4 linked regions of the Rhinolophus ferrumequinum genome follow. The protein of the gene in region 3 interacts with the protein of the main gene of each other region in a pairwise test. Links are inferred from orthologs where the notes say so. Each region holds a gene or a part of one and is shown on either strand. Other genes may lie near its edges.

Region 1 (8,272 bases), about 11 Mb from region 3:
AACCTCTCCCACATCCCTCCTGATTGCTTGCTGCCAGTTCATACCTTTCACCGCCTGATAAATCCGGTTCAAACACTTCAACCCTCAAAAAAAAAGACATCGAAGTTGATCTGTCATTCTGTTCTTGTGCAAACTCACTGTGACTACATACTTAATTCATGTAAGTCGGCAGGTGTTCTTGCTATCTTGAAAACATTTTGAAAATCAACTAAGGTTTTATTTTAATAAAGGCACTTCCAGTTGTTTGTATTTTTAATCACAATAAAGTACTTTCTTATCTGCACAAAGCAAGCAGAACCAATTACTGCCCCCCTTTTATAGATGAGGAAAATGAAGCTAATGGACCCAGACCAGCAGCACCCCGGGGGAACTTGTTAGAAATGCAAATGATCCATCCCACCCTAGATCTACTGAGTCAGAAAATCGGGGAGCAGGGACAAGCCATCTGTGTTAACACGCCCTCCGGGAGATGCTAACGGCCAGTGTTAGAACTGCTAGGCTAATGGCAACAGAGCCAGCAAGCGGCAGCTGGAACTTGAATCCACGCCTCTGGACCTAATGTTCACTGCTCTTCCCTTCCTACTCCATGTCCTGCCACGAATGTGTTGTCTCCCCAAACAGACAGTAGCTCCTTGGAAAGAAAGGTCTGATCAGGAAAACAGAGCCCACACCAAGTAATTTCCTGAGAGTAGTTTATCTATATACAAATGTTTTGTTTTCTAAATGCTTTCGTAATTGTATCTTTTGATTATTATGTCCTTCCTACTGAAGGTAAAACAAATGGTAACACTGCAATTTTATAGATGATGGAACTCAGTACAGCTCTTAGCTACCATTAAAGGTTTAGTGTATGACAATCTCAGTTCTAAGTGCTTTGCACGTATTAACTTATTTAATTAATTAGCACAACACTGTAAAATAATTATCTTCATTTTACAGATGAGAGAATTGTATTGGGAAAGGTGCAAAAACAGAGCACTTACTTACCAGATCTTATGGTTTCATAAGAGAGGATTTAATACAGGGAATGAAACACAGGGGTTAGAAGAACTAAAAAACCAAATGGAATAATAAGATCATCCCAAGATTAGCAACACAGGGAGCCACTGCTATCCCTACGGCTGGAAGGAAAAAGAGAAGATGTGCTGTCATTAGAGCCAGGAATGAAGGCTGCCTAGCAGGAGCTAGAACCAAGAAGGAGACACAGCCAGAGACACTCCCCAAAGGAGAGGGAGAGCAATACTGGGGTTTCCCTTTCTCCCGTCCTTTCATCTTCCCCAGTGCCTCTCTGGCCAAAGGTAGCTAAAAAGGGGTGCCTGGTAAATGCAATTTGCAGGGGAAATTCAAGGAATGGATCTATGGGGAAACAGGCAAATGATCAGCCCCAAAACAGCCACAGGTTGCGGGACTTAGCTCAAGTGGGAGCTGGGACACAGTTACCTGGTTGTGTATCTAGACTCGCCATCACCGTGCGATGGAACTGTCCAAGGTAAAGTTACTGCAGAGCCAAGACTAAGAGAACCCAGGTTCCCTAACTCACAGGTTCCCTAACTCACAGTCAGAAATGCTCTTTGCCTCCTTAATACCACCACCACCACCACCCACAGCCCATCTCACCTCTTAATACATTTAAAACAAAAGCTGATTCATTGGTCAAGGTTATGCTAATGAGATAGCTAAGGGCACTGTCTAGGTGTGGGAAACAGGAAGCCTTTCTGCAGAAAGTTCTAAAAACTCTAAAGCTCTAGTAGAATGCTATACAAAGACTTATGAGTCTGAAAGGAGACCTTCTCAAACTTCAGAGACATAAAGAACATCTAGGAAGCTTGTTAAAATGTAGCTTATGAGACGTGCAACACCAGTCAGTTGGCAAGCAGGGCCAAGAAACTGCACCTGTAACAAGTAACCCAGATGATTCTGATGTAGTTAGTGACCAACTCTCTGAAAAACATTGCTTTAAAAGTGCAAAAAGACTTAAAACATAGGCCCCGTCTAAGAGCTAAGTGACCAAGAATTAATGAATTCAGAAACATATCTGCCACCTGTTCAAGAACACCACTCTTGGGGTGGCCCGTTAGCTCAGCTGGTTAGAGCGTGGTGCCGATAACATCAAGTTGCCACATAGGCCACTTTGAGCTGCGCCCTCCTTTAAAAAAAAAAAGAAAAGAAAAGAAAAAAAAAAACACCCTTGGAGAAGAGTAGAAAGATTCCAATGAACACAAAGGCCTATCAGCTCCAAGCCAGGTTCCAGCCATCTTGCAGACCCATCTCACTGACCTTGGCTGCCCAGGGTTGAGGCGGCCGTGTGGTAGGTCTCACAGTCCACACAAAACGTTCCTTGCTTCTCTGCCCCCAGCATCTCCAATTTCCGGGTGAGGAGCTCCACGGTCTGCTGGACACTCTTGCCCTCAGCCACAGGCATCTGGGACACACTGGAAGGGAGAGGACCGAAGCATCAGTACCCAGAGACACACGGGCACTTGCTGGGTCATGTGATCACCCACAGATTCACAGCCCCTCAGGGCCAGAAGTTACCTTAGAGACCACTTACCAGGACCCTCTCGTTTTAAAGAGGAGGCGACAGGGGACCACAGTCCCTGAGAACCAGAGCACAGGTCTCAGGTCACCAGTGCAGTGAACTTCCTACCTATCACCGCAGAAGTTCCTGAGCATGGCATGTGTGCCAACATTCAAGAGAAGATTGTAGGGCACACAAACTGAGCATTCGTTAACAGTGAGTCGTAGAACGAGAAAGGATTTCCTTGCAAGTCTTTAAGTTCTGACTGTATCAAGAACAAAGTCTCAATGGGGGGTTCATATGTTTTTCCCAACTTTCTAACACTTTGAACGTTCACTGTCCAATACAGCAGCTACAAGCCACATGTAGCCATTTAAACTAACAGAACAAATTAAATTACAAATTCAACTGCTCAGCTGCACTACCCGCATTTCCATAGCCACACGTGGCTGGGGGCAACTGTATTAGTGCTGACAGAACACTTCCACCAATGCAAAAAATTGTATTTGACAGCCCTAGGATCTAAGACAAAGCCTCAAGTGTATAAACTTTGGGAGAGGCAATAACACGTACAAGAATTTAATCAAGACAAGAAAGCAAAAAATGTTATTTCCAAGATTTCCTTCTCTGGTGAGTGAAACTGGCTTCCTCCTCAGAGAGGGAGGTTACCAAGCCCCAACTATGTGCCAGACAGTGCCCAACGGCCTTGAGATGAATTAATTATTCTGAATCCTCACAACAGCCCTAGAAGATGTCCTATAATTTATCTCCGTGTTAAAACAAAGAAACTGAAGTACAGAGGGCATGACCAACTTGCACAACAAGGTCTCACACCGTGGTGTGGTGCAGCCAAGATTCAACGCCAGAAGAGCTGGCTCCATGTCTGTGGTCTTAACCAGCACACTAGACCACTTCCCTAGGGATCTAGGTGCCTGTTAAAATACTGTTAAGGAAAAGAAATAGATTTCAATGAAAACATGAACAAGTAAGAGTACAGATGGTACTTAGCTATATAAAAATCATAAAGACAGTCATACGTGACTGACTTTTGGGAGACTGCATTACTTTATTATAATCAATCAACTAAATGAAGCTATCAAGATAGAGTCCTACAGTTGCTAAAAAGTGTTACTACTCTCCACCAGAAAAAGCACGGTAAGTAATGATGATGATGTGCCTTATTTTGAAATATAAGAGAACCCCTAAACTGATGCTCTAGGGTGAGAAGTCCCAAGAGCCTGAAAAAGTTGATAAGGGTCCCCACAGAGAGGCCCTTCCTTCTGTCTGCCTTCTCTACGGACAAAACGGGCTTCCAGGGTTCCCAGCCTCTGTGCTGCAAACTTTTCATTCCCATCCCTCACACATTTCCTTCACACTAGAAAACTTAAGGAAGGCTCGGGATGTCAACTGTAGAAACAAAAGTGCAATCACTGACAAACCTGCGAGAACCTGGGCTACCAGGAGTTGTTCCCGCGGACTTCAGACATCCTGGCCTCCAGCCCTCTGTGACTGGAAATGCTCACACTTACCCATTAAAGAAAAAAGAAAAAAAACGCCCTGAATTTAGCATTTTGTAACTAATACCTCCAAGAGCACTAGGCCCATACCTTTCCTTGCCACTCTGACTTATAACGTTAGTGAGAAGAAAACTCCATAAAAATTAGGCCAACCATCTAATTACACATAGTGTAATGCCTGGACCCCAACACCCTAATTCCCAATAGCTTCTTTTTTTCCTCTCTAGACCCAAGGTCTTACAATGGCCAAACTAGAACCAGACTAGAACCAGACAGGCTCGTCTAACTGCATTTAGTGGCTGTAGGAAGGGGCAGGCGAAAGCCTAAAAACGATAGTCTCCTGGTTGCCTATTCTACACCCGCTCCAGCCCTGCATACAAATAGGTCCTAATTCGCACATCCTATTTCCGACCCTAAAGTTCCACCCTGGGCAGTACTATGGCCTCACCGGCAAGAAGAGGTACCAAAAAAAAAATAATAAAAATACGAAGGAGGTACCCAAACACTGATAGGTTCCTGGTCGCGGGGGGGACCCAGGAGGAAGGCTGGCGTATCTCCAAGGAACAAGGCCCGAGAATCCGCAGCCCTCAGGGTGTCTCCCTCACCCACACAATCCGAGGACATCTTGCTCAGCTCCTAGGGACGGCCGACCCTGCTCCCGACCCTCCTCCCGGGTACCCTCCAGGCTCCGAGGGCCCTTCACGACCCCAAGTCCCGCCCCACAAAATCCCCCGCAGTATTACCAAGTCACTCCCATGGTGTAAGGTCAGGAGGGTGGCAGGACGCAGCAGTGGGAACGCGGAGCCCTCCGAACGCTCACATTGGGGAAGACTCCTCCGATGCAAGCGTCGCGGGAGGAAGGGGTTCCGGAAGTGACGTAAAAACAGAGCGCCTAGTCGTCGCTCCACGAGAATAGGGGCGTGTCTAGGCGCTTCGGTGACGCCTCCAGTGGCATCTCTGCCCGAATGTAGTACCCAGGCTTGCAGCTCTCTGGGCCTATATCCACAAAGCTTAGAGAAGCCAACGTTAAATGCAATAAGTGTATTTGGGAGTCCAGCTCCAGGACCTGTGAGCTCTTAGCGGGCGGGACGGCGCTGACGGCACTCCTGGCCTCCGGACGATAGGGGGCGCTGTGACCTCCGTGTGGCCTCTTGGGCGCTGGGAGTTCACTGCGCAAGCGCATTCAGGACTTATTTTCCGTCTCCACGTGTGAACCTTCCCCGCAACTTCTTGGAGAAAAATGCCCAAATTCAAGGCGGCCCGCGGGGCCGGAGGTCAGGAAAAACACGCGCCGCTGGCCGAGCAGATTCTGGCTGGGGACGTGGTGCGGGCAGGGGCCCGGGAGAAGCGGCGGGGTCGCGGGACCGAAGAGGAAGAGTATGTGGGGCCCCGGCTGACCCGACGGATTTTGCAGCAAGCACGGCAGCAACAGGAGGAACTCGAGGCCGAGCATGGGACTGGGGGCATGCCCGCGGCGCCCAGGGAGCGCATCACACGGCTGGGTGAGTGGCGGGGGGTGGGTGCGAGGAAGAGAGCGGTTAGGTGCGGGTGGACGGGTGTGGGGCAGGGGGAATAGCTTGGAATAAAAAAAAGGGGAGGTCCGTAGCACACGCTAGCAAAAGTAATGGAATGAGAGACCCAGTCCTGGAGCGGATTTAGGGTGGTCAGCACCCTCCACGCCCACTCCTAGTTTTAAGCCCTCTTCTAGGCACCCCTTGAAGTTAGTCCAACAGGAAGTGATTGCTCGCACCACCAAGTTCTAGTATTTATCCGTTTGTTCTATACATACTTAGGGGATGTCTACCACTACGCTTCATTCGCACTGTGTTAGTTTAGATGGTTTGGGTAAAGAAATAAACAGGCTAGACATGTGCCTGACTTGCAGATAGTCTAGGAGAGAGACAATCCGATAGGCAAGTTAGAATAATACATTCCATGATAAAGTATAGTTTCTCTGATAACAGTGGTCTTGGTGAGTCAGACTTCCCAGATTGCATGACCTTTTGCTGAGACCTAAAAAAGTGAGTGGGGCCTGCCTGCTCTGAGCAGAAAGTGCAATGTGGTTTAGGGGCTAAAGAGGGAGAGAGAGTAAGTAAAAGATGGTCAGCATTTTCTTGTTAGGGTGGGAGTGTTGACCCCCCAAGTTGCTTAATCCATTCTTCAGATCTCATCTTTAGTTTGTCCTGACACAATTGAACATTGGTCTCCTGGCTACAGTATCTTTACTTGGCTTCCAAGACATCACATTCTTGTGTTACTACTTTCTTACCTCTCAGTATCTTTTGCCGGTTCCTCTTTTGTCCCCAACCTCTTACTGAAGTGCCACAAGGTTCAGTCTTTGGATCTCTTCTCTTCACTTACTTCTCTGGTGCTGTCATCCATTTCATCGTTTAAATACCATCTATTTGGTGACTGCTCCCTTCTTTATATTCTAGCCCTGATTTCTTCCACGAACCCCAAATTCTTGTATTTCAGCTGCCTATTTGGCATCTCCAGTTTGAAATCTATCTCAAATTTAACATGTTCAAAATAAACCTTCTCGCCAAACCTACTCCTCCCACATTTTCCTAATTTCAGCTAACAGTATGATATCCTTCCGTTTGCTGAAGACTGAAACCTCAGACTTTCTCACGTCACATCTGATCTGTAAGGAAATCCTGTTGACTCTACCTTCAGTTAATGTCAGACCACTTCTCAGCACCCTGGAAAACCATCCTGTTCAAGCCACCACCATCTGTCCCCTGGATGATTACAGTACCCTCCTCATTAATATCCCATACCCCCTACAGTCCATTCATAAGTCAACAGCTAGAAGATTACAAGGGACTCAAAAGTCCTAGATCTGCTGCTGTTGCCAGTCTAACCTCTTCTGCTTTCCCCCTTTGCCCTCTTCATTTCCAGCGTGTAGGCTTCATTATTCTTAAACATGGCCAGTGAGGGCCTTTGCCTTGGCTGTTCCTGTCCTCGTACACCTACAGGCTTACTCCCTCGGTTCCTCACCTTCTCTGAGAATCCTGTCCTGACTACTCTATTAATAATTGTGACCCACCCTTGTCTCCACACTCCCAACTTCTACACCCTGTTTCTTTCTTCTTAGCACTTGTCTTTTCACCTAATATGTTATATTGATTTATTGTCTCTCCCCCGTAGAATAGAAGCTCTATCAGGGCAAAAAGTTTTGTCTGTCTTGTTCACTCTTATGTTTCCAGCCCCCAGAACAGTGTCTCACACGTGGTAGGCACTCAGTGTTGGCTGAATGAACGGATGAATGAATGATGGTGAGGTGGGTAGGAGCCAAGTCTGCAAAAGACTTGAAGGCTGTGCCCGGATTGAAAGCTATCAGAAAGACATTGGGAAACTATTGGAGAATTTGGAGACCAGTTAGGGGATTGTTACATTAATCCAGGCAAGAGATGATGCTGATCTAGGCTTAGGCAGGGCTGTGAAGAATTTGACACCTACTCCATGACGTAGAACGGAATAGAATTTGGTAACTGATTGGGTGTTGGGGGTGAGGAGGGGATGCAGCTCGCCTTCCTCCCAGGTACTGGCTTAGCACTGGGTGGATGGTGGTGCTGTGTAGTTGGATGTGGAACACAGTAGAATGGACCTCGGAGGAAAAGAGTGACTTCTCGGGTTGATGACAGGTGAAGTTTGAGATGCCTGTGGATCATCCATGAGTGGCTATACGGGTGGCAGCTGGAGTTAGGGTCAGGAGCGAAATATCTACCTACAAGTACAGATTTGGGAGTTGTTAGCATGTGGAGACAAACTGTCCCCCCCCACACACACACACACCCCTGCATTTAACTTCTGTGACACACTCCCTCTGTTCTTAATGACCTGTTCATGTGCAGCCTTGCACCTCACTGTGTGGAGTATTACATCCCTTACGAGACACTCAGCCGGCTGTCGAGCCTCCCACTATAATCATTTATTGGTCCATTGGACTCTTAACTCCACTGCCTGGCCTCAAAGCCCTCCGCGGTCTGCCCTCACATTCCCGTATTGCTAGGCTTATTCCTAGCTACCGCCTAACACCGGCAAGCCTTTTTGCCAGTGTTTCCCGGGTTTGGAATGCGCTCCACCTGCTCCCCTGCCCGGAGCCTCACCGTCCTCTGCACTCGTCATCTAAATGCCTATGGTATATACTGTCTCTACCATTCATTTGATATATAATCAAGCTCCACCACGTGTGTAGAATAGAGGTAAAGCATGCACAGTCTAGACGCAGATT
Region 2 (8,009 bases), on a different chromosome or scaffold from region 3:
TCCCAGAAACGGTGACAGCAGAGCCAATCCCGGATCTTTAACTCTTTCCTTCCTGCCCCCAAGTGGCGGGCTCTCCCCTGCCCACAGCCCGCGCGCTGCCCCCTGAGACTCTCTCCCCGCTCCTGGGCCGCCCAGTGTCTGCCCCCCTCAGAGAGGCGGCCCTCGCCGACCGGGGCCCCCCGCCGGGATGGGAAGGAGGACTGAAAAGAGAAGAGTTTGGGAGCCACCGGGGGCGTCTTGCGCCCACATCTTGTCCTTTCTCACCTGGTTCCGTCGGGGGAAGAGAGAAAGACTGTTGGTTTGGGATCTCTCGGCAGGACAAGGTGTGAGTGTGTGGAGGTGTGTGCATGGGGGTGGGACAGGAGGGTGACGGGTTTCTGGAAAAGACGTTCAAGTAGGGGAGCCCTGGGACCCAGGGATCCAGTCCATCTAGGATCGCCCCACCCCACCCCGCCTGCCCCAGGGAGCGCATCCGCGGAGAAAAAGGACCCGGTGGAAGGATGAAGTTAACTCTTTAGTTCCCAAATGGTTGTGGGCAAGGGAGGGAGAGCTTGAAGGTGGCTGGAGGGGGGAAGAGGTGTGACCTCAGGGCCGCTCCGGCAATGTGACTGTGTGCGTGTTTTGTGTTGAGAAGGATTGTTAAAATGGGGTTCGTGGTGGCGGTGGGAGATGGTGTTGAAAATGACCAGGAGAGGCGTAATTTGGGGAGAAGTTTTGGGGGCACTTGACCGCTGGGCCGCAGGGCGGGACCGCTGTGGAATCCGTCTGCCCTCTAACGGTCAACAGGCGTCATTGACAGTATTTTGCCGCCAACCTCTCCAAACCTGCGCCTGGGCAGGACCCAAGGTCCCCAAACTTCCTTGGTTTTGCAAACAGTTCCAGGGGACCTCGTACGGGTTAAGCACCAGCTAGATGCTGAGGGCAAAAGAGAGAAATATATGTAGTCGTACCTTTGAGGAGCTCTATTTGGGATAAATAGCCATAATGTAATATCGTTAAGCACCAAAACAGAGAGATGGGATACATTGCATAGAGGCCCAGGTGAGCATTATTTTGCCTGCATCGGAGCCAGGAAAACCTCTAAAGAGAAATAATTAAACAAGGGTAGAAAAATGAGAAAGGTATTTTGTGTAGAGAGAGCAGAATACTGAAGTACGTTTTCTATATATGGAATATTAGGAGAATTTTGAATATAATTATGGTCTAGAGCAAACGGTAGCCCATGGACCAACTTCAGATGGCGGGCATGTGTTGTTTGTCTTGCATTCTCATATATATATATACACACACACACACACATATACATATATACATACATATATATACATATATATTCATATTTAATTTAGTTGCCCACGCTTAAAAGCCAGCATATGGTACATGAATATTTGGAGTTCTGGCTTGTCTTGGAATATTGCAGAGCTGGTAAGGTAGGTCCTGCATCTCTCCCTGAATCGTCAGCTGGAACCAAGTACCCCTTACCTCCTTGAGATGTTTAGTTTCTCACGGTTCTTAGCCACCCTGTTTACTCATTGTCATTACTGGCTGCAGTTTATGTTTACAACCCTGATGTAGGATGTAAGATGTTGGAATTACCTGGGAGGAGATGTCTTTGTTCTTTCTGTTAGTGGGGCTCCAGATTCCATAGACGTAGATAGGAGTAGGAGATTGGGATATATATATATATATATATTTTTTTTTTTAAAGAAAACAGTTTTATTGAGATATAATAACACAATAAACTGTACATATTTAATGTATATACAATTTGAGGAGTTTGGACATATTTACACACCCATGAAACCATCACCACAGTGTCTAGGTAATAAACATACCCACCACTTCCAAAAGTTTCCTTGTGTCTTTGTGTGTGTGTGTGTGTGTGTGTGTGTGTGCGTGCGTGTGAAGAACACTTAACATGAGGTCTACCCTCTTAAATGTCTAAACGCATAAGACTGTATTATTGACTATAGGGAGATGTTTTGTAACTAGATCAACTGGACTTCAGGAAGAGAAGACAGTATACAAATAACTGAAGTCTAGGTGACATCGACCCATTCGTTGAAAAGCTGAAGAAGCAGGTTTTGGGGAGATTATAATAATTTCAGTTTATGGGGTTTGAGGTGCCTGTAGATACCCAGGTGGAGGTGTCCAATAGGTCCTTGAATTAGTGGAGCTGGAGCTCAGAAGAAAAGACTGGACTAGAAATCTAATTTAGTAATTGAGCTCCTCCATCAGCAATAGTGGACCAAATAATGTGTCTAATCCCTGAGCTGAAGACAACTAAAATGTTGGATGAAATCTTTTAAAAATCAAAGCACTAGTAAAACAGTGAGGAATTATTGGTGTGAGAGCAGAAAAGGACAGGAAAATAGAGAGGTGAGACCAGCAGTGGGACTGCTTTTACCCTGGGGTCATTTGCTGGTCCGCATCGGTGGCGGAAAAAAGGCTGTGTGGGGCAAGTGAGACAAAAGTTGGAGTCCAAATGTCCCTAAGGGTGAGAACCCTGGTAAACCACTGTACTATTTGGGGTTAGGTTCCTGGAAGGCTGCATTCCTAGGGAAAACCTAAGAGTAGGTAGAAAATCCAGCTCCAAAATATTCAAAAACCAAAATTCAGAACCAATTGATGGGTTTCACAGCAAGTTAGACTCCACTGAGGATCAAGTAATGAATCAGAAGGAAGGACAGAAGAAATTACCCAGAATGAAGCGTGGATAAAAAGGCATGAAAAACATACGAGAGAGTTAGAGGCATAGAGGATAGCATGAGAAAGTCTGAAACACCTTTATTTGGAGCCCAGGACAGAGGGAAATAATAGGATAGAAGTCATATGTAAACAGATAATGGCTGAGAAACTTAAAAAGTGAGTGAACTACATCAAGCCACAGATTCAAGTTCAACAAACCTCAAATAAGATGAAAAACAATTCCCTATTTAGATCCATCGGAGTGAAAGTGCGGGAAATTAAATAAAAAATAAAGCCTTTAAAATAGTAAAACGTATTGAGTACCCTCAAAGGTGCAGCCATTAGATTGACAACGTTTTTTTCACAGTAAAAATGGAAGCCATAGACAGTAAAAGAATATTGTAAATGTGCTGAAAGAAAATTAGTCCCATCTAGAAACCGATACCCAGAGAAAAAATGTCCTTCAAAAACAAAGGTGACACAAAGACGTTCAGACAAACCACAACCAAGAAAATTAGCTACCAGCAGAGGGGTACTTATTCTCCAGCAGAAGGATCAGTCCAGATGAATGGTGAATGGTTGGAGTTGCAGGAAAGAATCAAGAACGTTAACAACGGTAAATCTAAAGGACCACAAATTTAACTAATAAGCGTTAATGCCTTGTGAGATTGAAAATATATAATTTAAATTCTGTGCACATATATCTTACACCTACCAAGATGTGGAATGCATCTGACCACAAGAATCTTGTACACAAATGTTCATAGCAGCTTTATTCATAATGGCCTCAAACTGGAAACAACCCAAATGTGTTTGCCTGTGTCTCAGCCAGTTGGAGGTCCTGAATTCATCAAGAGGAGAAAGGACAAACAAACTATGGTGTATTTATGCTACTCATAAACAAAAAAATTAATTGCTGATAAATGCAAAACCCTGGAAGAATCTTGAAACGTGTCAAGCAAAAGAAGCGAGGCAGAAAAGAGTACAAACACTCTGAGTCTATTTAAATGAAGGTCCAGAACAGACAAAACTCATCTATGATAATAGAAATCGGAACAGTGATTGTCTCTGTGGGCGGGGCAAAGGGGTATGAACCAACTTTCTGAAGGGATAAAAATTTCTTTATGTTGATCTGGTGGTGGTTACATGGACGGGCTACATCACTCAAAGTTTCTCGAGCTGTAGGCTTAAGATCTGTGCATTTTGTTGTAGTAAATTATACATCAATAAAGTACTTAAAAGAATTACACAACAGCGATAGTATATAATTCTGGAGGGAGTAATGGTGGTAAATAGAATTAAATTATTCCTGCATTTCTCACGAAGACGGTAAAAGTATTACATAAAATTAGACTTTGCTAAATTAAGGATGCACGTTGTAATTTTTAGGGTAACCAACTAAAAGAGTAGAAAAAGAGTGTGTAACTTTCAATTAACAGAGACTGGGAGGTAATAGTGCAAAAGAAGGAGGCAAGTAGGGAAGAGAAAGATTACAGGAGGGACAACGCACATAGTAATATGATTGATTTAAATGCAAATACAGTATATACGTATATGTGGCTGTTAAAACCTCCTAAAAGGGTGAAATCCGTCAGTTTGTAGAGAGGGAAGAAGAGAGATGGGGGAAACTGGGCAACGGGGATGGGTCTGGCCCTTCTGTCCTTACTACTTCCCTGCTCTTTTTCTGAGACCTGTTTCCAAAGCTGCCTCAGTTTTGCTTCTAGTCCCTCACCATCAGTGTTTTCCCCGCTCTGATTCAGTCAATATACTGCCCCCTTTTCTTAAATCCGCTTCTGCGTTAGTGTTCATTGTTGCCTAATTCCTTTCCTATTCCCCCCCATTTCACTTGCTAATGGTAAAAACAGCTTCTCCAGGCTGCTTTTTAGAGGCAGAAAAAAATAGAAAGTGGTGTTTACACTTACTGAAGTTAAAACTTGTACGGTATATGAGGGAGGAAAAAAACATCCGATAGCAGAGGATGGTTTCGATCCATCGACCTCTGGGTTATGGGCCCAGCACGCTTCCGCTGCGCCACTCTGCTATCTGGAATCTCAGCTACTCATCACTCCTATAGAAAGTGTTCTGCGTGGCCTCGCTCACATCTTTATATAACGCCATCTAGTGTCTGGTAAGAAAAATTGTCATTTATCAAGTCTATTCTTATTGGCTACTTCCTGACACACAGGCGTTTTTTATTGGTTCCTAAGCAGGCTTGCCAGAGTAAACCAATAGGCATAAGCGGAGGATTAAGGCGGGAGCCAATCACGCCGGAGTTTGTTGGGACACGCCGGCAAGCCGCCTCTCCAGTTATCGGTTTCTCCGAGGCAAGGGGCGGTTGGAGTGGTCTCCATTGTTCGGGGTTTAGGACGCCATGAGGTAAGGGCACGGGATTCCTCTGGGAATGTGTGGGGTGTTTGACCGAAAAGTTTGGGGAGGGGGACCGAAAGGAGTCGGAGGACCTGGAAGGACCACGTGTCTGGGGGCTGCCCTAAAACCTGAGAACTCGGGGTCGGGGCGAGTGGGAGGTCGGAGGCCGCGGAGGCGGGGAAACCTGGGCCTGGGATGGGGGTGGGGCCCAGGAGTGGGGAGGCGGGTTTGACGCCTGTCTGCGGGGTTTAGGGGAGGGGGTGTCCTCCGATCCCGGGAGGAGCACCGCGCTTCCCCCCATCTAGGCTGAGGAGGCTGGAGCGTGCTCCTCCATCCTCACTGCCAAGTGCCCGGCTGCATATGCCCGATGAACGTTTCGCGACGTTAATGACTCAATGAGCAGTCCCTCGAGTCTCAGAAGTATTAGGGTTGGCGCGTCCCGGGAATTATGGGGTATTTCTTACAGGGGTCGATGTGGGAGCCCCGCCGTCGTTTGGTGTAGTTGTGACTACATTATCCAGAACGAGGGCGCGGGGGTGAGGCTGGCCGTCGGGACCGGGAGACGTGAGGCGGGCGCCAGCCGCGGAGCGGGGATTCTCGGCTCCCAAGGGAAAGTTCAGGGCGATGGCGGCAGGCTGACTTGAAATTGTATGACCGGGGGTATGGTGGAGTGATATTTTTAACGAGGCCGAAACCACGTTCGAGTCTATTTTCGTGTATTCTAGGGGTGACAGAGGCCGAGGTCGAGGTGGGCGCTTTGGCTCCAGAGGAGGCCCAGGAGGAGGGTGAGTGCCAGCTTTAACCTCTTTGCTCTGGTTACTGTCTACGACAGTCACCTAAACAGGAGTTTGGAGGGGCCTAATACCTGCTTTGGTGCGATCCTGCTGTGTGGTTCAGAAACAAAGCCAAAGGAGTTGGACCCATCATGCTAAGTCGCTTGATTTCTGTGGTTCCTAATTTGGGTGGTTTTTCTTGTTTTAGGTTCAGGCCATTTGTGCCACACATCCCATTTGATTTCTACTTGGTGAGTACCATAGCCCCTGTTCACCCGTTGCCATAGAAATGGAGCCTGCACACTCTTCACTTGTGGTTTCCTGGAGCCCAGCATCTCCCTGTAAATGAAGTCAAATGGTGGTTGCAGTAGGAAAAAGGATTAGGGAATGGAGTTGGGGTTTTGAGTCAGCTGTGTGTTGCTTACATGCAAAAACAGTGTAAGCAGGGTGGGTCAGATCTGTGGCTACTGTTGCCAGTGACGTGACTGTAGTCTGAATGTTAATTGTATCTCTGGCCTATCTGTTATTATAAAAGTAGTGACAGCTTCGATTATGGTTATTCCCTCCAGCTTGGATCCTTGTTTGAACATCTTAAGGAGTAAAAACAAGTGTTGTAGAATTTTCTATTTTTATTCTATTGTAGCAACAGAAAAACAACCTCTCCTCTTGGTTTTGAGAGATAGTACATAGTTCTTTGTTTCTGATTTAGTGTGAAATGGCCTTCCCCCGGGTCAAGCCAGCGCCTGATGAAACTTCCTTCAGTGAGGCTTTGTTGAAGAGGAATCAGGACCTTGCTCCTAATTCTGCTGAACAGGTATATTCTTTTGGCTTCCTTCCTGAGATTTCACTAAGAAAGCCAGAGAAGTGAATAATACTGGTGAGGTTACTGTGATCAGAGCCCACACTCCACAGAGAGTTCACAGCGGTCCCCTCTTACAGTGGAGATAACGTCCAAGACCCCACTGGCGGCCTGAAACCATGGATAGTACCGGACTCTATGTACACCATCTTTTTTCCTATACATACGCACCTGTGCTAAAATGTAATTTATAAATGAGGCACAGTAAGGGATTAACAATAATAGAACAGTTATAATATACCATAATAAAAGTTATGTGAATGTGATATTTCAAAATACCTTATTGTACTGTTCTTATTCTTCTTGTGATGATGCGAGATGATACACGCATACATGATGAAGTAAGATGAATGGTGAACGACTGAGGCACTGGCGTGGCCTTAGGCTACTATGGAGAGGGCTACTGGCCGGGAGCGAATATAGTGTGGATATGCTGGACGAAGGGATGATTCACAGCGCGCCATTTAAAACTTATGAATTGTTTGTGGAATTTTCCGTTTAATATCTTTGGACAACAGTTGACTGTGGGTAACAAACCACATAACGCAAAACTGGATAAGGGGGGAGCAACTGATTGTTCTCCTTCTCATTGTGGGTGGAGGGAGAGTGCCAGATGAATATATAAATATTTACAGATGTGTTCATATTTTTATTGGGGAATCTATGAGATCAAACAGTTCTCTTCTGGAATGCTCAAGGCCAGAGGGTCAGAGTGTTTTTAAAGCACTATGTGGGAATTGACTCAGCTTGTATGGAAAGGATTAAGAGGAATATTCAAACTGAGAAGTTGCTTGTAATTTTTCACCGTAGCTTATTTTTGTTTCCTGCTGTTTTCAGGCCTCTATCCTTTCTCTGGTGACAAAAATAAACAATGTGATTGACAACTTGATTGTGGCTCCAGGGACGTTTGAAGTGGTGAGTTTCTGATGACCTAGTCTAGTTGTAGGGCAGCCGTGGTAGTATGGAAATTTCATTGGCTCCTGTCTCTTAATTCTTCTATTATCTATTACCCAAAGCCAAGTCTAAAATGGGAAAATACAATGGAATTCCTTTGTGGAACTGATCTTGGGACAAGACTTACATCATTGTTATCAGCTAGCCATGATGTATCAGGCTTTTCATGTGGTTTTTGGGATATGACTTGACCTCTGCAACTTCTAAGTCTGGGTGATAAAATGCTGTGTTGTAGTTGAGTTTGCAAAGGAAGAAGGCAGTCTTTTCACTTCTTTTTTTCCCCCTGAAATCCTTCTTCCAACAGCAAATTGAAGAAGTCCGACAGGTGGGCTCATATAAAAAGGGAACAATGACTACGGGACACAACG
Region 3 (7,505 bases):
CTGTGCAGTAGAAGAGCCTTTTGAGTGGGGTCTTCAAAGAAAGAGTGATGATTTGTCCCAAATTTATCTGGAACATTTCCTATTTGTACCTGTTGTCCTTGTATAATTATTAAAAGCACCCTGCATAGTATTTTCCTTAACTTGTCCCCTACCAAAGCATATTTATGTTGGTTTCAGTATTTCACAAATTCAAACAATGCTATAATGACATCCTTCTATAATCAAGCACTTTTGTGCAGATGGGAGAGAAGTAGAGCAAATGGTTCAAAAAGTTTGGGCATTTAAAAACATGAGCTATTGCCAAATTATTCTCAATAATGTTCTTCCAATTAACATCCCCATAGTGGACTGGAATGCCTATTTCCTTACATTCTCACCAACACTATTATTGAGCTTTTTGATCTTTACTAATCTCATTAATTGAAAGCACCACCACATAATTTTATTTCATTAATAGTGAGTTGGACCTCTTTTCACATTTATTAACCACTTGTTCTTTTTCCCTGTACCATCTGTTCATATCCTTTGTGCTTCCTCATGCCTGCTTTTTACTTAGATTTGTGGAAGTATTTTTGTCTCTCAAGGAAATTCATCCTGTCTTATTTGCTAAAAATAACTTTTCCCAATTTTCCTTTATTGCTTGACTGTTTAGAGCTACTTTTTTTGTATAGAAGTCATTTTTTACTTTTATGTAAATCAAATTTATCCATTTGTGGCTTCTGGGTTTGGGATCATGTTTGGAAAGAACTTCCAGACAAGAATTATTATTATTATTTTATTATCTTTTTAAAGATTTTATTGGGGAAGGAGAATAGGACTTTATTGGGGAACAGTGTGTACTTCCAGGACATTTTTTTTTCTTTCCCAAGTCAAGTTGTTGTCCTTTCAATCTTAGTTCAGCTTCAAGTTGTAGTCCCTTCAGTCTTAGTTGTGGAGGGCACAGCCCAGCTCCAGGTCCAGTAGATGTTGCTAGTTGCAGGGGGCGCTGCCCACCTTTCCTTGCGCCATTTGAGGAATCGAACTGGCAACCTTGTGGTTGAGAGCCCACTGGCCCATGTGGGAATTGAACCAGCAGCCTTCGGAGTCAGGAGCACGGAGCTCCAACTGCCTGAGCCACCTGGCCGGCAGATTATTATTTTTAATCAGTCAGTTTTCTTTTTAAAGAGCTTTTATGGATTCACTTTTTTTTAAATTCAAATCTTCCATTGTCCTAGAATATATTTTGGTATAAGAAGTAAGATGGGATCTTTTTATGTTTTCCCCCAGCTAGCCAGTTGTTCAGATCATTTACTGAATGCGTAACACCAACCTGCAATTTCTCCTTCATCTTTTACTAAATTCTTATTCACATTTAGGCCTACTTCTTAGTTACTATTCTGTCCCTTTGCTCTACTAGCTTATTGTTACTTTAATTATTGTAGCTTTGTGTTTTTCCTGACCATTCTTTTTGTTTTCCCAGACTAACTTTAGTATTACATGGTAAAGGCAGGTAAGAGAAAAGACGATAAGAGGAAGCAGAAATACCTTAGGCCTCATTAGGTCCTACTCAGTTTGGTGCCAAGAAATAAAACCAATCCAAGGAGAGAGGAGTCAACAGTATCAAATGCCTCAGAAACAATAAGATGCAGACTGAATAGTGTCCTCTGGATTTAGCCCATACTTTTAGAAATCACTGGTGTTCTTAGGGCAGATAGGTTGTGTAGAGGGGGTAGGTAGGAATTCATTTTAAAATAAAACGTTTTATTAATAAAAATTGTATTTTATCAGATAGGTTTAGTTTCTGTTGCATATACAGACAATCCAAATAAGTGGCTTAAAAAAGACAGTGGCTTTACTCTCACTCACATAGATGAAATTTGGATGCAGTCACTCTGCAGTGAGTAAGGACCTAGGCTTCTTTACCTTTCACTACATCATGTTAGTGATGCTTTCCATCTTCAAGATTGCCTCATGGTCCAGGACAGCTGCCTGAGCTCCTGCCATCATGGGCACACTCCAGGCTGAAAGAACTTGGAAGGGGTAAGTTTAAAAAGGGCATACTTCTCAGCTGAGTAGACTTTCTTTAAGAAGTTTTCTCAAAATTCCCATCCAAAAACTACCATGTAGATACCATTGGCTACCCACAATCTCAAGACTGTTGAAGTGTGAAAGAAGCTCTGGGTGAGGTAAGGGTGTTCCTAGGAATATCCGTAACCAGCCAGACAAGGTTTCATATTGTAGCATTGCCTTTTTGAATTTACTACAATTCTGGCAGCAAAGGGGCCTGGGAAGTATCTTTCAGCTGGACATATTGCTACCTGGAACAAAATTTTAAGTAAAGAGCGGACACTGGCTATAAAATAGTCACCAATAGTCCCTTTCATGTTGTGTTAAGATTGATAGACACTTACTAAAATAAATAGCTGTACCAGAAGTCCCACACTGGAGGGCAGGAGGCCAATTTTCATCTTGCATAGATGATTTTACAATTTTTAGTTAATAATAAATTTCATATAAAATTTTCATATAAGATTTTTGTCTTCTCTTGAAAATCTGAAAATTGGCAATATGCTGGGCCCACATACTCAATGGTCATCTTCAGCTAAATAGAAATGAGCTGCCTCTCAGGAGGGACATTTTTCCTCCAGTTAGTCACAGTCCCCATCTTTCCCTATTGATTTGACCTGCTCATTTAAATTACCTTCTTGTCTCCAGCAGGCATTTGTGTTTGTACCAGTCATTTTATGAATGAATAAATAACTGTTACAAAGAAGTATGCATAAAATGTGACAGTAGAATCATTAATTATTAGTCTAATAATTCAACAAGCATTTAAGTACTGCCAATCTGAGTAAAGCTATGGAAAAGGTGTAATGGAGAACATAGAAGGGCTGGAGAGGAGCTTCTGTCCTCACAGAGTCATTTAAGGACCTGACCTCAGTTTCCTTATTCATAAAGTGCATTAGACAATGTGAGAGCACACATCATTTACTGTTCTAAACTAACCTTAACGATAGGTAAGAATTCCAAAGCAAAGTCAAAGAAAATCTTAAGATGGAAAATAACCCAAGTATCAGAATCTGAGGTGTTACGTGAGCCTCGGAGGCTGATGAGAGAGAGATTGATGAGACCCACTTGTTTAGGTTAAGCTCCAAGGAAGGACTCATGAGTAGGCCCTGGAGAGGACTGTGGTGAGCACAGCCTGGGCCAGAGCTGGGTTGGCAGCATTGTATGAAGACTGTGAATGGCAGCCGACTTGGAGGCCGGAAGTGCTCAGACTGAACTCCACGCTCAAAGGTTTGGACAATGTCCTGGAAGCAAAAAAGCTTTGAAGATTTCTGTGTGAGAAGTGACTAAATGAAAGGGGGCTGTTCAGGATGATTCTGTCCCTTGCGGTTGTTATATATGCATTCACTCAGTTACTAATTGACTTAACAAACATTTGCAAACTGACATTTGAAATAATTTAGGTCAAAGCGTACTATGGAAATGAAAAGGAACAGAGGCAAGCTGATAAAGCAAAGCAAGGATGTCCAAATTCGATCAAATCTAGAGGATGAAGGACAATACTGAGAAAACAGCAAAGGAAACTAAGAAATACCAAGGTAGGGATGAGGGAGAAACCCAAAAAATTTGTAAACCTACTGGACAATGAAAAGAGCCCAGGTCACCGCAGGATTGAGAAGCTCCCAAGACTTTGGGAAAGAACACAAATGTTTAAGTCCTAGTGACCACAACTCCGTGCAGCGGGTAAACGTCCTTAAGGTTAAACAAGCAAAGACATAATGAAGTCTACCTCCTTGGTGCGGTGCAGTTACTCCCATTTCACCAGAGGAAACAGGCTCAGAATAGTAAACAATCTGCTTAGGAAGTAGTTGAACTGGGTTTATCTGACTCTTTGTCCCACAGGAATGTTGCCGTCTGATTAAGCCTTTCTTTTTTGAAACAAAATTGCGAGTGCCTGTAAATGGAGTTGTTTAATAAAGCGACTCACAAACCGGGTGGGACTAGGTCGGCTACCCCTGTCCCTCCAGGGGAAGCCAGGTGCCTGTCCTTCCCACACCAACGCAGAGCCAGTTTGCTCTCGCCGGAGCTGAGTCTTGAGCACAGAGAGGAAATCCAGCCAAAGACTAGGGGTCCAGGCCCGTGGCCGCGGAAACTCGGCGGTGGGCCCGGAGCGTGCAGACAAGGGCTGCTCTGTCACCGCCGCGCCCCGCAGACACCGAATGCCTGTTACCGGTCACCGAGTCTCGTGCTCCTGAGCGTTCCGCCCTAGGGCGGGCGGCCAGGCCTCCTCGGTTCTCTCCCGGAGGAGAGTCCAGGCCCAGAGGCCACGAAATCACGTCGGTGGCGAGAGGCCCGGGCAAGCCCCGCCCTCGGAGCCGCCTCTTCCGCTCTTGCCGGGTGGGGTCTGCACGGCCGCCGGGATCCGCTCCGACGCGGCCACGTTGTCCTGCCTCTGGCGCTCGAGTCCCACGGGGACGCCCGGATCGCTTAGCGGCTGGGCTCAGCGGAGCCGCAGCCTTGGCGAGCTACCGGTGCTGGGCACCGCGGCGCTGGGGGCCGCCCTGCCGCTCTGCGGGCCAGTGCACAGGCGCGTCTGGGATCTGGGCCCGCGAGGCGCCGCCCTCCGCCCGCCACGCTCTCTGCCCCACGCCGCCCAGAGGCAGCGAACCGGAGGGCGCGCTATAGAGTTGGGCGCCGCGCAGAGCTGGGCTCTGGGGCCCATGCCCCTGCGCCCCCGCGGGCCCGCGCTATGGCCTCCGGGAGCGTGGCCGAGTGCTTACAGCAGGAGACCACCTGCCCCGTGTGCCTGCAGTACTTCGCCGAGCCCATGATGCTCGACTGCGGCCACAACATCTGTTGCGCGTGCCTCACCCGCTGCTGGGGCGCGGCGGAGATCAACGTGTCGTGCCCGCAGTGCCGGGAGACCTTCCCGCAGCGGCACATGCGGCCCAACCGGCACCTGGCCAACGTGACCCAGCTGGTGAAGCAGTTGCGCACCGAGCGGCCGTCGGGGCCCGGAGGCGAGATGGGCGTGTGCGAGAAACACCGCGAGCCCCTGAAGCTGTACTGCGAGGAGGACCAGATGCCCATCTGCGTGGTGTGCGACCGCTCCCGTGAGCACCGCGGCCACAGTGTGCTGCCGTTGGAGGAGGCGGTGGAGGGCTTCAAGGTGAGGGCCCGGCGCGCCGCGCGGGAAGGGGCGGGAGAGCGTGTCGGACAAAGGGAGGAGAGATCCAAAGAGGCTTCCTTTTTTCCGCCTAGAAAATGGCTGAGCAGGTCGTGTGGTTCACAGCCGTCATTTCCTCTCTGTCTGCTGCAGAGCCTCGGCACACAGATTTGGGAGGAAAACCTGTAGATTGAGGAAGCCAGAAGCCCCCCCTCCGCCCCCACTCTCCTTTCCTTATTTGCGTCTGTTTACCGGTTCACGGGCACATAAAGACAGCCCACGGAGCCCTCCCCACTCCCGTATAAAAGATGCGTGTAAAACCACGTGCACATCGGCAAGCCTCAGAGACGCTCGTACTCTGTCGCCTCCTAGTTGATCTCAGACACATTAACTGGCTGTATACCCGCCTGGCAGGTAGATGCCCACCACCTACTCGAGAAGCATTTCCCCAGCACTGCCTGTGCTCCGTTCTGTTCCAGAAACTCATGGAAAAGAACACAACTCTTTACTGCTTAAGTTATTTAACCACTTTGAAACTCATAAGAGGTAACACAGTTATTACGAAGATTAAGTTAAAATGTGGATGGAGCCCCTGTGAACTCTTGAACCAACAGACTAGCACAGTTAAACAGTAACACGGAAACGAAGTCATTTCCTCAGTGTGCTACTGTGGAAGAGCTCCAGTTTAATTCCAAGCCTCCTGGTCCTGTCACCTTTCCACTAGGCCATGCAGTAGGCATCCTTCCAGGGGCAGGTAGTTGACTCAGTTTAAGTTACACACAACCTGCCAAAGGAGGGGTGTGGTGACCCCGTGTGCCTGGTTCAAGGACAGGCTGTAATCCCGGACTTGGCTTCAGGAATGTGAGTTGCATGTGTGATAAGCGGAAGAGCCATGCTGATGCTAAGATCTGCCTAATCCTGAACTTCCCAACTGTTTTTGCTTTTCTTAGGAGCAAATCCAGAACCAGCTGGACCACCTAAAAAGAGTGAAAGACTTAAAGAAGAGGCGTCGGGCACAGGGGGAGCAGGCACGAGCTGAGCTCTTGGTAAGTAAGTGTCTTTGGGATTCACAGATAATATCACTTCTGCTGGTTACTCCTTCTTTTGTAAGGCTTAACATTGTCCAGTCAAGTCTTCCAGACTTCTAGGTGAAGGTGGGGAAGACCATATGGCCGTTGGGAACTAACCTGGAGACCCGAGCATTCCCATATTTTTTGGGGAAAGGATGGAAGAGCTAAGGTTGGGAACCCTGGAGAGCCGACCTATCCAAAGTTTAAACTGCTAGCTTTCTTTAGATCACGGGTGATCCTTGACAGAGCTGACATAGGTGAAATTCTCGGGCACAGCCAGCCTCCTTTGGTACCCTTCTGCAGACACATGCCGACAGTGGCTTTGCATAAGCCCCACTGTTGCTTCTTGCTGGAGTGTTCCCTTTCTTGACAACACTTCAATTCTGAGCTTTTCACTTTGTTTCCTTCTTTTAGTCTCCTAAAGCCTTAGCGAATGGCTAATTTATGACAGGGATATTTGGGGGTTTTGTTTTGAAAACCAAAACAAAAAGTAGAGACTTTTATAATAAACACTTACATATCCACAATCTAGTTTTTTAAGCATTTTTTTGAACAATAAATAGTAAAAATTTCTACCCATTAGGAGTATTTGCATGTGAAAAGCAAACTGTTAGACCAGTAGTATATAACACTATTTTGTAAGAAATTTTGTCAGCCTGGCCAGGGTGTCGCAGAGAACTTGTGGACGGGGAACTTATTCCCATGATATCCTCAAATGCCACCACTTGTTCTGCCCACACAAGCTGAGACCTCAGCTTTCCTTGCTTGAAAGTAGGTCTGATGGATGGAGAATCTTCTAGTGAGCTTGAGTGGAGTCAAATCATTATGCACATGGCCTCTCCTCTGTGGGAGGATTGTCAACGAGGGGAGATAGTCCTTCTCTGATCATCAGGGAACCTGGACTTAGGAATATAACCTCTGTAGGCCTTCAGTTTCCTCATCTGTGAAATGGATAGGTTGGATTAGACTTGTTCTTCAGCAAGGCTAGTACTACCCTCTCAAGAATCAAGTGGTTGGGGAGAGTAGGGCAGGGAGGTTACTTGTCCTGCAATCAAGAAACAATCCCATTAGCAGCCGGACGGCTCAGTTGGTTAGAGCACTATCTCTTAACAATAAGGTTGCTGGTTCAATTCCCATATGGGCGGGTGAACTGCACCCTCCACAACTAGATTGAAAACAATGGCTTGGAGCTGAGCTGCAGGTGGGTGGCTGGTTGGCGCAGTGGTTGGGGCATGGTGCTCAAAACACCAAGGTTGCCAGTTTGAGTCCCATATGGGCCAGTG
Region 4 (7,229 bases), on a different chromosome or scaffold from region 3:
GGGTGACGCTCAGCTCGTCTGTGCACCGCGCAGTGAAGTCGTAGAGCGCCCTGAAGAGCTGCCCAGGCACCGCCGGGGGTGTGCAGGGCTCGGCAGCGGGGGCCTCCAGCTCAGCGTTGGTGTCAGAGTCTGGGAAGCCAGAGACGCTGTCATCCGGCGTGCCTGCGGGCCAGATCTTGTCCCAGAAGAAGGACAAGAAGGACAACCGCTTCCTGAGGAAGGGCTCCATGCTCCCGGGGCGTCCGGAGCCCGGTCACCACACTGCGCCCAGGGCCCTGCAGGGGAGGGGACTTCTGACGAGGGAGAAACTGGAAGGGCCGGTGGGACGGCAAGTGTCAGAGCTTCGCTGAGTGTCAGAGTCCATCACTGCTGGCAAGGGGTGTGGGTGACAGGTACTCCAGAGGGCCCCCTGCTCACTTCTGGGCTGTTCAGACCGGGTTGGGACACAGGGTGGCCCTCCAGCCCCCAGCCACATGTCAGCCGCTGCTCTCCTTGACCTCTAGGGTGTCTTGTGGGCAGGACTTGTCCTGGGCTGCTCAGAGGCACTTGGGGCTGGGGCAGGAGTGGCCCTGGGGCAGCCTGGGGGTGGGGTCTTGGGCGGCTGGGAACGTGGGACAGCCCCCTGCCTCCCCAACATGTACCCCTTCCTCAGGCCTAGGAAGGAGGGGGTGGCTGTCCTGCCAGGCGGCCAGTGTGACAAGGGGAGAAGGGTCATGCACAAGCGCACGCCATGCTAGCCCGTGACCTGAGTCCTGCCCTCAGAGGAGGGGTTCTATGAAGGGGCAGCACCAGCCAGTAGCTGCCTAGCCGTGCACTGGACTTGTGTGGACAGTTACCTGGTTCTTCCAACGTGGGCCAAGTCTTTAACATCATAAACACCCCCGTGCAGGACAGCTGGAGTTTCTTATGGGGTGGGGCTCAGTCAGCACAGAGCGGTGAGGGAGGAGGGGGTAAGTTCAGGGCCACCCTGGGGAGGAGGCTCTGACCTCTGACCGCCCTCAGAGAGATGCGCTGGGTGATGTGGGGGTGGCGGGTGAGTCCACGGAGGGCCTGTACCCACCACTTGCTCCTCTCCCCGGACCGCACCAGGCCCCCTGCACACTGAAGCAAGCTGCCCACTGCCCAGGTCAGCCTGTGCCGCTGGGCAGGGCGGGAGAGCAAACCCAGGCCGCCTGGTCCTGGTTCCGGATCCAGGAGGGGTTCAGGGCGGGTGTCTGGGTGTGTGGGCGGTTCCCAGCCCCAGGTAGCTTGCTCCTCCTCCCCCCACAGCAGCCCCTTCAGCACCGGCGTCATTATTGAGCCCACATCCCTCTTCTGACGACTGCAGACCCTCCTTCCACACCCCACACTCAATCAACGCCCAAACGTTGTCACGTTCTGTGAACGGGCCCGACAGAAGTGACAAGTGTCTATCCACCTGCCCCCGAGAGGCAGCAGACCCTGGTGTCTGGAATGCACCCTGGGGGCCTCCCTGCCACCGTTGGGGGAGCAGCTTGTACAATTTGCAAACTGTGACGTGGCAGCGACAGCCACCCACCATGGGCTGAAGGGGGCAGGGGTCCGAGGGGCAGGCTCCATGCAGCTGAGACTCATCCTGTTGCAGAGGATCAGGGAGCGGGGTCGGGAACAAACATTTACAAACACAGAATTAGGGGAGGCCTGGCAGGGCCTGCAGTGCCCGCCTATCACCTGCCTCCACCCCCCACCTCCCCGTATGAGCAATTTGGGTTTTTACAGATTGCTTTCCTTAAATCCCAGACGTACCTGACTCCTCCTAGGAAGCCCCTGACCCACCGGCCAAAGGGAGGGCCCCACTTATGCTGGCCGCGCTCGAGGTCAGCATTCAGATCCTGGAGATGCCCTGTCCCTCAGAGCCAAGGGGTCTGGCCTCTGGGACTGAGGACATTGCTCTGATGGTCAGAGCAGGCAGGGAGAGTCCTCCTCGGTCTTCTGGCGGGGCCCCCTTAGCCTCACCTCCTCCATGGGCCCTAACCAAACCCAGGGCTGGGAGCTAGCTATGTGAGGGGGAGGGCCCCCGGACAGCTCTGGATGTGGTCGGATGACCAGGTTCGAATCCTGCTGTCAGACTCACTAGCCGCATGGCAAGGTGCTGAGCGCTCTGTGCCTCGATTTCCCCATCTGTGAGAGCACTGAGCTCATAGCCATAGTGAGGACTCAGACCAGGTCTGCAGGGTGAGGAGCGGCCATCCCGGGCATTCAGGCTGAGGTTGGCAGTGTCCCCACACCATGGCTTCATGTGTGTTCTGTGGAGGGCACACGATCGGGTCTCTGGGGTCCAGGTGCACCCCTTGCCCCCAGGGCTATGACCTCACGACCACCAGGCTCACCACCCTCAGGGCGCCGGGTCTGCCAAGGGCAGCAGAGCCCAGTGGCTGCAGACAATGGGCGAGACAAAATCAGCTGGCCCATGCCTGGGAGGAAGGGCCCACTAAGAATGCACGTGGCCGGCCCTCGGGAACTATGCTGAGCAGAGAGGCTGGTCCTGGGGGCTTCACGCTGCACGATGCTACGAAGGCTCTCCAAAGGACACAATTGCAGAGATGGACCAGACGAGCGCTGGCCAGGGGCGGAGGAGCCCCAGGGTTGGGGAGAAAGTAGGCGCGGCTACAAAAGGCCAAGTGGGGGCCCTGTGGGGACAGGGCCGTCTGCCTGTGGACTGTCAGTATCACTACCCTGGTGGGATCCTGCTTGGCAGTTCTGAAGAAATAGGCAACGGGTTCACGGGGGGCCCTGTGTGACGTCTCACAACTGCGTGCCATCTACGATTACCTCAAAATTCAGAGTTTAATTTAAAAAAATTAGCGGATGAACAAGAGAGGAAAAGGGCGTGGGGCCAAAGAGATGTCAGAGGTTCAGGACACGCCTGGCGCCGAGAGGAAGTGAGAGCTGCTGTGGGTGGAGGGGCTGCAGTCATCTTCCTCCCTCTGCTTTGCATTTTCCCCCTTTCAGGTGCCAGACTCCCCCACTCAACCTTCAGACAGCCCCCCCCTTCCAAACAAGCCAACCCTGCCCCTCAGGGCCCCAATGGCGGCAGCAGCTCTCGTTTGCTAAGTTAGGGCCCAGGGCGGGGCGAGGAGGGCAGACACAGCCCCACTGGCTCCCTCCCCAGGCCCGACCTGATGGGTGCCTGGCCAGGGGACGATTCCTCCCAGGATGGGGTCCCCTGGTGGGTGGGGGTGCACTGGGGGCAGCTCTGGCCACAGAAGAGTTTGTGAAGAGAGCTCAGGGACAGACGCCCATCCTGGAGAGGCCACCACTCACCTCCGAAGGGGAGGAGACGGGTGACCAGGGTCAGCCCTGCCACCTCAGTCCTCCCCCGGAGGGCCAGGAGTGCCTGGGGTGTTAGGCTGCCCACGGCCGGTGGCAGACCCTGGCTGGCCCGCAAGGTCCCAGAGGTCCAGAGCCCAGTTGGAAGTGACAAGTGGGGCTCCAGAGGCGGAGAACACCTCTGAGGAGTTCCCTGGAGCTGTGGACACCCCGTTTGTCCAGAGCCGCGTCAGGGGCACTGGCGTGGGCAGGCCGAGGAGAGGAAGGGTGCTCTGGCAGAGGCAGGGCTCCTGATCCTGCTGTCAGTTCACATGGTCACAGTCTCTGGCAGCTCCACCCAGGGGTTCTGGGCAGCGCTGGGCCGGAGGTAGAGCAGGGGCGTCGGCCCCCACCCGAAAGCCTGGCAGAAGGGCTCCGGGCTGGGTCCCCAGCGCAGAGGGGTGGCCGGCCTCAGTTTGCTCCTGTCGGTGGAACCCTACTGCAAACCTGGCTTTCAGACCATGGCGGTGGCTCCCAGGTCGGGCCTCTGGTTGCGACGTCCGGAGTCCCCAGAAAAGGGAGCAGAGTCTATGGACAGTCCCCTCCAAGCTGAGACTCGGTTGAGAGGAGCGGTTCCTTTCGTGGAGGTTCTGGGACCAGAAAGCCCGGCCATGGCCGTCTTTTCGCAGCCCCTCAAGTCTTGGGACCCGACAGGGCGGGTCTTCCCCCCACCCCCGATGCCCTGGGCTTCCTCCCACCTCCTGTCCCCCCAACCCCTCACCCCCACCCTCTGCCCCATCCCCTTTCCGGACCCTCTACGGCGTCACAAAGGCCCGCGGTCCCTATGGCAACCCGCCGGACAGCGCAGTGCGCAGCTGGGCTCCCCGGCTCTGCGCACAGTCAAGCCGCAGGCTCTGCCCGCTCCGGAGGCAGGGCAAGTGGGTGCGCTGGAAGGTGGGGTACGGGCCTGCGGAGGCTGAGGGAAGTGGGGAGGCGGACAGGGGGTGGGGGAGGTGGGAGTCGGTCTCGGGGAGGTGGGCGTGGCGGGTGGGGGGGCGAGGGGTGTGCAGGGGCGTCAGGAAGGCGGGGCCTCTGGGGGGCGGGCCAGGGCGCAGGGTGGTGTCTTCCCATTTTCCACCTGGGAGACTGTTAGCGACTGGAAACATTCTGACCTTAGCCAGATCCAGGAGCAAGAGTTCCTTCCAGAGGCCAGAGCTGGACTTAGGCCGCGAGTCCTGGGGTCCTGGTCTCGCCTGACTCCCCACCCCAGATACCCTCTCTGCTGTGCCCAGGGCCTGGTCTGGCTACCCTTCCCCAGGAAGGTCAAAGGCTGGTCTTTAGGGAGGGAGGCAGACTCCCCGACCTTACTCTGCCACTTGGCGGTGCCTTCTTGGGCACGGCACCCGACCTACGGGCTGTCTCTGTAATCCATCCAAGCCTTGGCTTGCTGGGACAACCTGAGCTCTCCCAAGTGAAGCCGCTGGTCCCTGGGCATGGCGGGGACCTGGGAGAGGAGCCAGGGATGCTGGCTTCTTGTTCAAGGAGCCCCAGCTTGCAGGGCCAGTCCTTGTGGACTGGCAGCTTGCCCCAGCTGGGCCTAGGACCACAGCTGCATCCAGCTGTGACGTGCCCTGAGGTGCACTGGCCCCTCCCACTGACACCCAGAGCTGGGAACCTGGGGGGCAGGGAGGCATGGCCCAGAAGGAGGTTCAGGCTCTGGGGTCAATGGCAGGGCTCAATGCCTGGACTGAGGACAAACTCGAAGCATTTTAGCCTCGTGCCCCATCTGTGAGACGGAGTGACAGGATCTTACAACCTCATGGCCTTTTCCTGTGGAGTCAGTGAGCTCCTGAGGGCACGCGAGGCCCCAGGACGTAGCAGGGGCTGGGTAACTAGGAGCTGGCATCGTGAAGATCCTGAGAGCTGAGGCCTGGGGCCAGCCTGCCGCCCATGCCGGTCCTGGTCACCACGGGACTGCCTGCGGGAAAGCCTGGCTCTGCTCTGTACCTGCGGTGAGGTCTGGAGGGTCTGCAGGCAGTGGTGTCCCCGGGATGAGGGGGTGCCTGGTGCTGCTCAGACAGATCACACTGCTCTCGGGAGCCTGAGCAGCACCATGACCCCATTTCAGATGAGGCACTGAGACCTTTGCCAGGCCACACAGCTGCTCGGCAGCTGCCTGTGTGCCCAAGTCACTGTGGCCTCAGGACTCAGGGCCTCAGCCTTGCCCTGTGTCCTTACAAACAGCCGTCAGTAGTGTTTGCCCCTCCATGCCTACTGTCTCCCAGACTAGCAGACCGCCCTGTCGGCCCTGCAGGCAGCCTGTTCCGGAGAGAGGTGTCCCCATAAGCTCCTCCCCCTGAGAGGGACAGAGGGCCTGGTGTAGGGGGCACACACAAACACTGCCCCGGGGGAGCCGCAAGGGGCAGCAGAGGACAGCCTGCTGGTCCCAGCTGACACCCCACCCTCCACTCCACCCTCCCAGACGATGGATTTCCAGGTGACAGGCCTGGACCTGGACAAGAGGCAGCCGGACAGTCCCCAGCGCTTCCTGGACCAGGAGGAGGCCGAGGAGGCCGAGGACGGGCAGCTGCTGGAGCCGCAGGCATGGAGGACCTACATGGAGCACCGCACGGCGCTGCGGGAGTTCCTGACCTCCCAGCTGAGCCCCCAGCTGCTCAGGCGCCACCATGCCCGCGTGGAGCTGCTCCGAAGGTGCTCCTACCACATTGAGATCCTGCCGAAGCACCTGGCCCTGGGCGACCAGAACCCACCACTGCTGCCCCACACCATCTTCCAGCTGGTCGACCCCTGCAAGTTCCAGCGCATGAAGAAAGTGGGCGCCGCTCAGGCCAGGATTCAGCTGCTGCTGCTCGGAGACCTGCTGGAGCAGCTGGACCGCGGCCGCGCCGCGCTGGATGCCCTGCTCGAGTCGCCTGACCCACGGCCCTTCCTGGCGGGTTGGGCGCTCGTGGAGCAGCGGCTGGCGGGCCTGTCAGCCGTGATGGATAACTTCTTGGCAATGATGGTGCCTGGGCGCCTGCACATCAAACACCGCCTGGTGTCTGATGTCAGTGCCACCAAGCTCCCCCACATCCGGCTTCTGCTGAGCACCAAAATGCCCGTCATGTTCGACCGCAAGGAGTCGGTGGCCCACCAAGACTGGGCCACCCTGCGCTGGTTTGTCACCATCCAGCCGGCGGCCCCAGAGCAGTTTGAACTGCGATTCAAGCTGCTGGACCCACGGACACAGCAGGAGTGCCTGCAGCGTGGCATCGTCCCTGTGGCCACCTGCACCTTCGAGATCCATCACCTGCTTCCCGACCGCGTCTACAAGTTCACGGTCAAGAGAGCTGAGAGCTACACGCTGGTGTATGAGCCCTGGGAGGACAGCCTCACTCTGCACACCAGGCCGGGGACCCCCGAAGGGCTGGCCCCCAGTCTGCTGGGCAAGCCGGGCCACCCCTGACCACAGCTTCCCAGAGATGATTTTCTAATATTTATCCATTAATAAAGAGCAATATAAACACACAATTATAGAAACAAAAGTTCTAAAGGTGGAAGCAGCCACATGACTGCTTTCTGATTTGGTGCAGCCCGCCCACAAGACCCAGGACCCCGTCAGCCCCTGGTCCCTTTTCCAGGGGAGACCCAAGCTGGACCTTCCAGAACAGCTGACCCCTGGAGCAGGCCAGGGGCCAGGGATTCGGGTTTGTGCTGGGTCATACGGGTCCAAGCCAGAGGTCAGGCTGGAATGGGAGTTCGCCAGGGAGGTGCATCCAGGCACACCAGCAGGGCCTTCCTCGTCTTAGTGCCTCCGGTCTGCGGCCCAGTTTCACACCCTCACCCAGAACGGCAGCTGCCCAGAGGCCACCGTGGGGCCACGCAGGTCCCCTTCTAGGAGCAGCTCCGAGGCCCGCTTCCTGATTTGGCCTAGGCTGAGCACTGGGCTGTACCCGCCCCAC

Evidence for each region.
Region 1: the proteins of zinc finger protein RFP (region 3) and BYSL interact in binary tests that used the Homo sapiens proteins (3 or more experiments, as listed by UniProt). The two-hybrid records come from large-scale screens. The link is inferred for Rhinolophus ferrumequinum from reciprocal best matches to the Homo sapiens genes TRIM27 and BYSL.
Region 2: the proteins of zinc finger protein RFP (region 3) and ILF2 interact in binary tests that used the Homo sapiens proteins (3 or more experiments, as listed by UniProt). The two-hybrid records come from large-scale screens. The link is inferred for Rhinolophus ferrumequinum from reciprocal best matches to the Homo sapiens genes TRIM27 and ILF2.
Region 4: the proteins of zinc finger protein RFP (region 3) and FNDC11 interact in binary tests that used the Homo sapiens proteins (3 or more experiments, as listed by UniProt). The two-hybrid records come from large-scale screens. The link is inferred for Rhinolophus ferrumequinum from reciprocal best matches to the Homo sapiens genes TRIM27 and FNDC11.

What each region holds. Positions count from the first base shown.
Region 1 is NC_046286.1:11,618,565-11,626,836, forward strand, and holds the start of BYSL (bystin), read left to right. Parts: upstream 1-4,977; 5' UTR 4,978-5,275; coding exon 5,276-5,537; intron 5,538-8,272. Other genes in the region: MED20 (mediator of RNA polymerase II transcription subunit 20), read right to left, coding at 2,278-2,432, 4,779-4,792. UniProt on the Homo sapiens protein: Required for processing of 20S pre-rRNA precursor and biogenesis of 40S ribosomal subunits. May be required for trophinin-dependent regulation of cell adhesion during implantation of human embryos.
Region 2 is NC_046305.1:52,588,804-52,596,812, reverse strand, and holds the start of ILF2 (interleukin enhancer-binding factor 2), read left to right. Parts: upstream 1-4,960; 5' UTR 4,961-5,059; coding exon 5,060-5,064; intron 5,065-5,780; coding exon 5,781-5,840; intron 5,841-6,036; coding exon 6,037-6,079; intron 6,080-6,537; coding exon 6,538-6,642; intron 6,643-7,524; coding exon 7,525-7,602; intron 7,603-7,945; coding exon 7,946-8,009. UniProt on the Homo sapiens protein: Chromatin-interacting protein that forms a stable heterodimer with interleukin enhancer-binding factor 3/ILF3 and plays a role in several biological processes including transcription, innate immunity or cell growth.
Region 3 is NC_046286.1:448,873-456,377, reverse strand, and holds the start of zinc finger protein RFP, read left to right. Parts: upstream 1-4,477; 5' UTR 4,478-4,735; coding exon 4,736-5,155; intron 5,156-6,102; coding exon 6,103-6,198; intron 6,199-7,505. UniProt on the Homo sapiens protein: E3 ubiquitin-protein ligase that mediates ubiquitination of various substrates and thereby plays a role in diffent processes including proliferation, innate immunity, apoptosis, immune response or autophagy.
Region 4 is NC_046306.1:485,383-492,611, reverse strand, and holds FNDC11 (fibronectin type III domain-containing protein 11), read left to right. Parts: upstream 1-4,160; 5' UTR 4,161-4,221; intron 4,222-5,749; 5' UTR 5,750-5,752; coding exon 5,753-6,733; 3' UTR 6,734-6,949; downstream 6,950-7,229. Other genes in the region: tyrosine-protein kinase Srms, read right to left, coding at 1-229.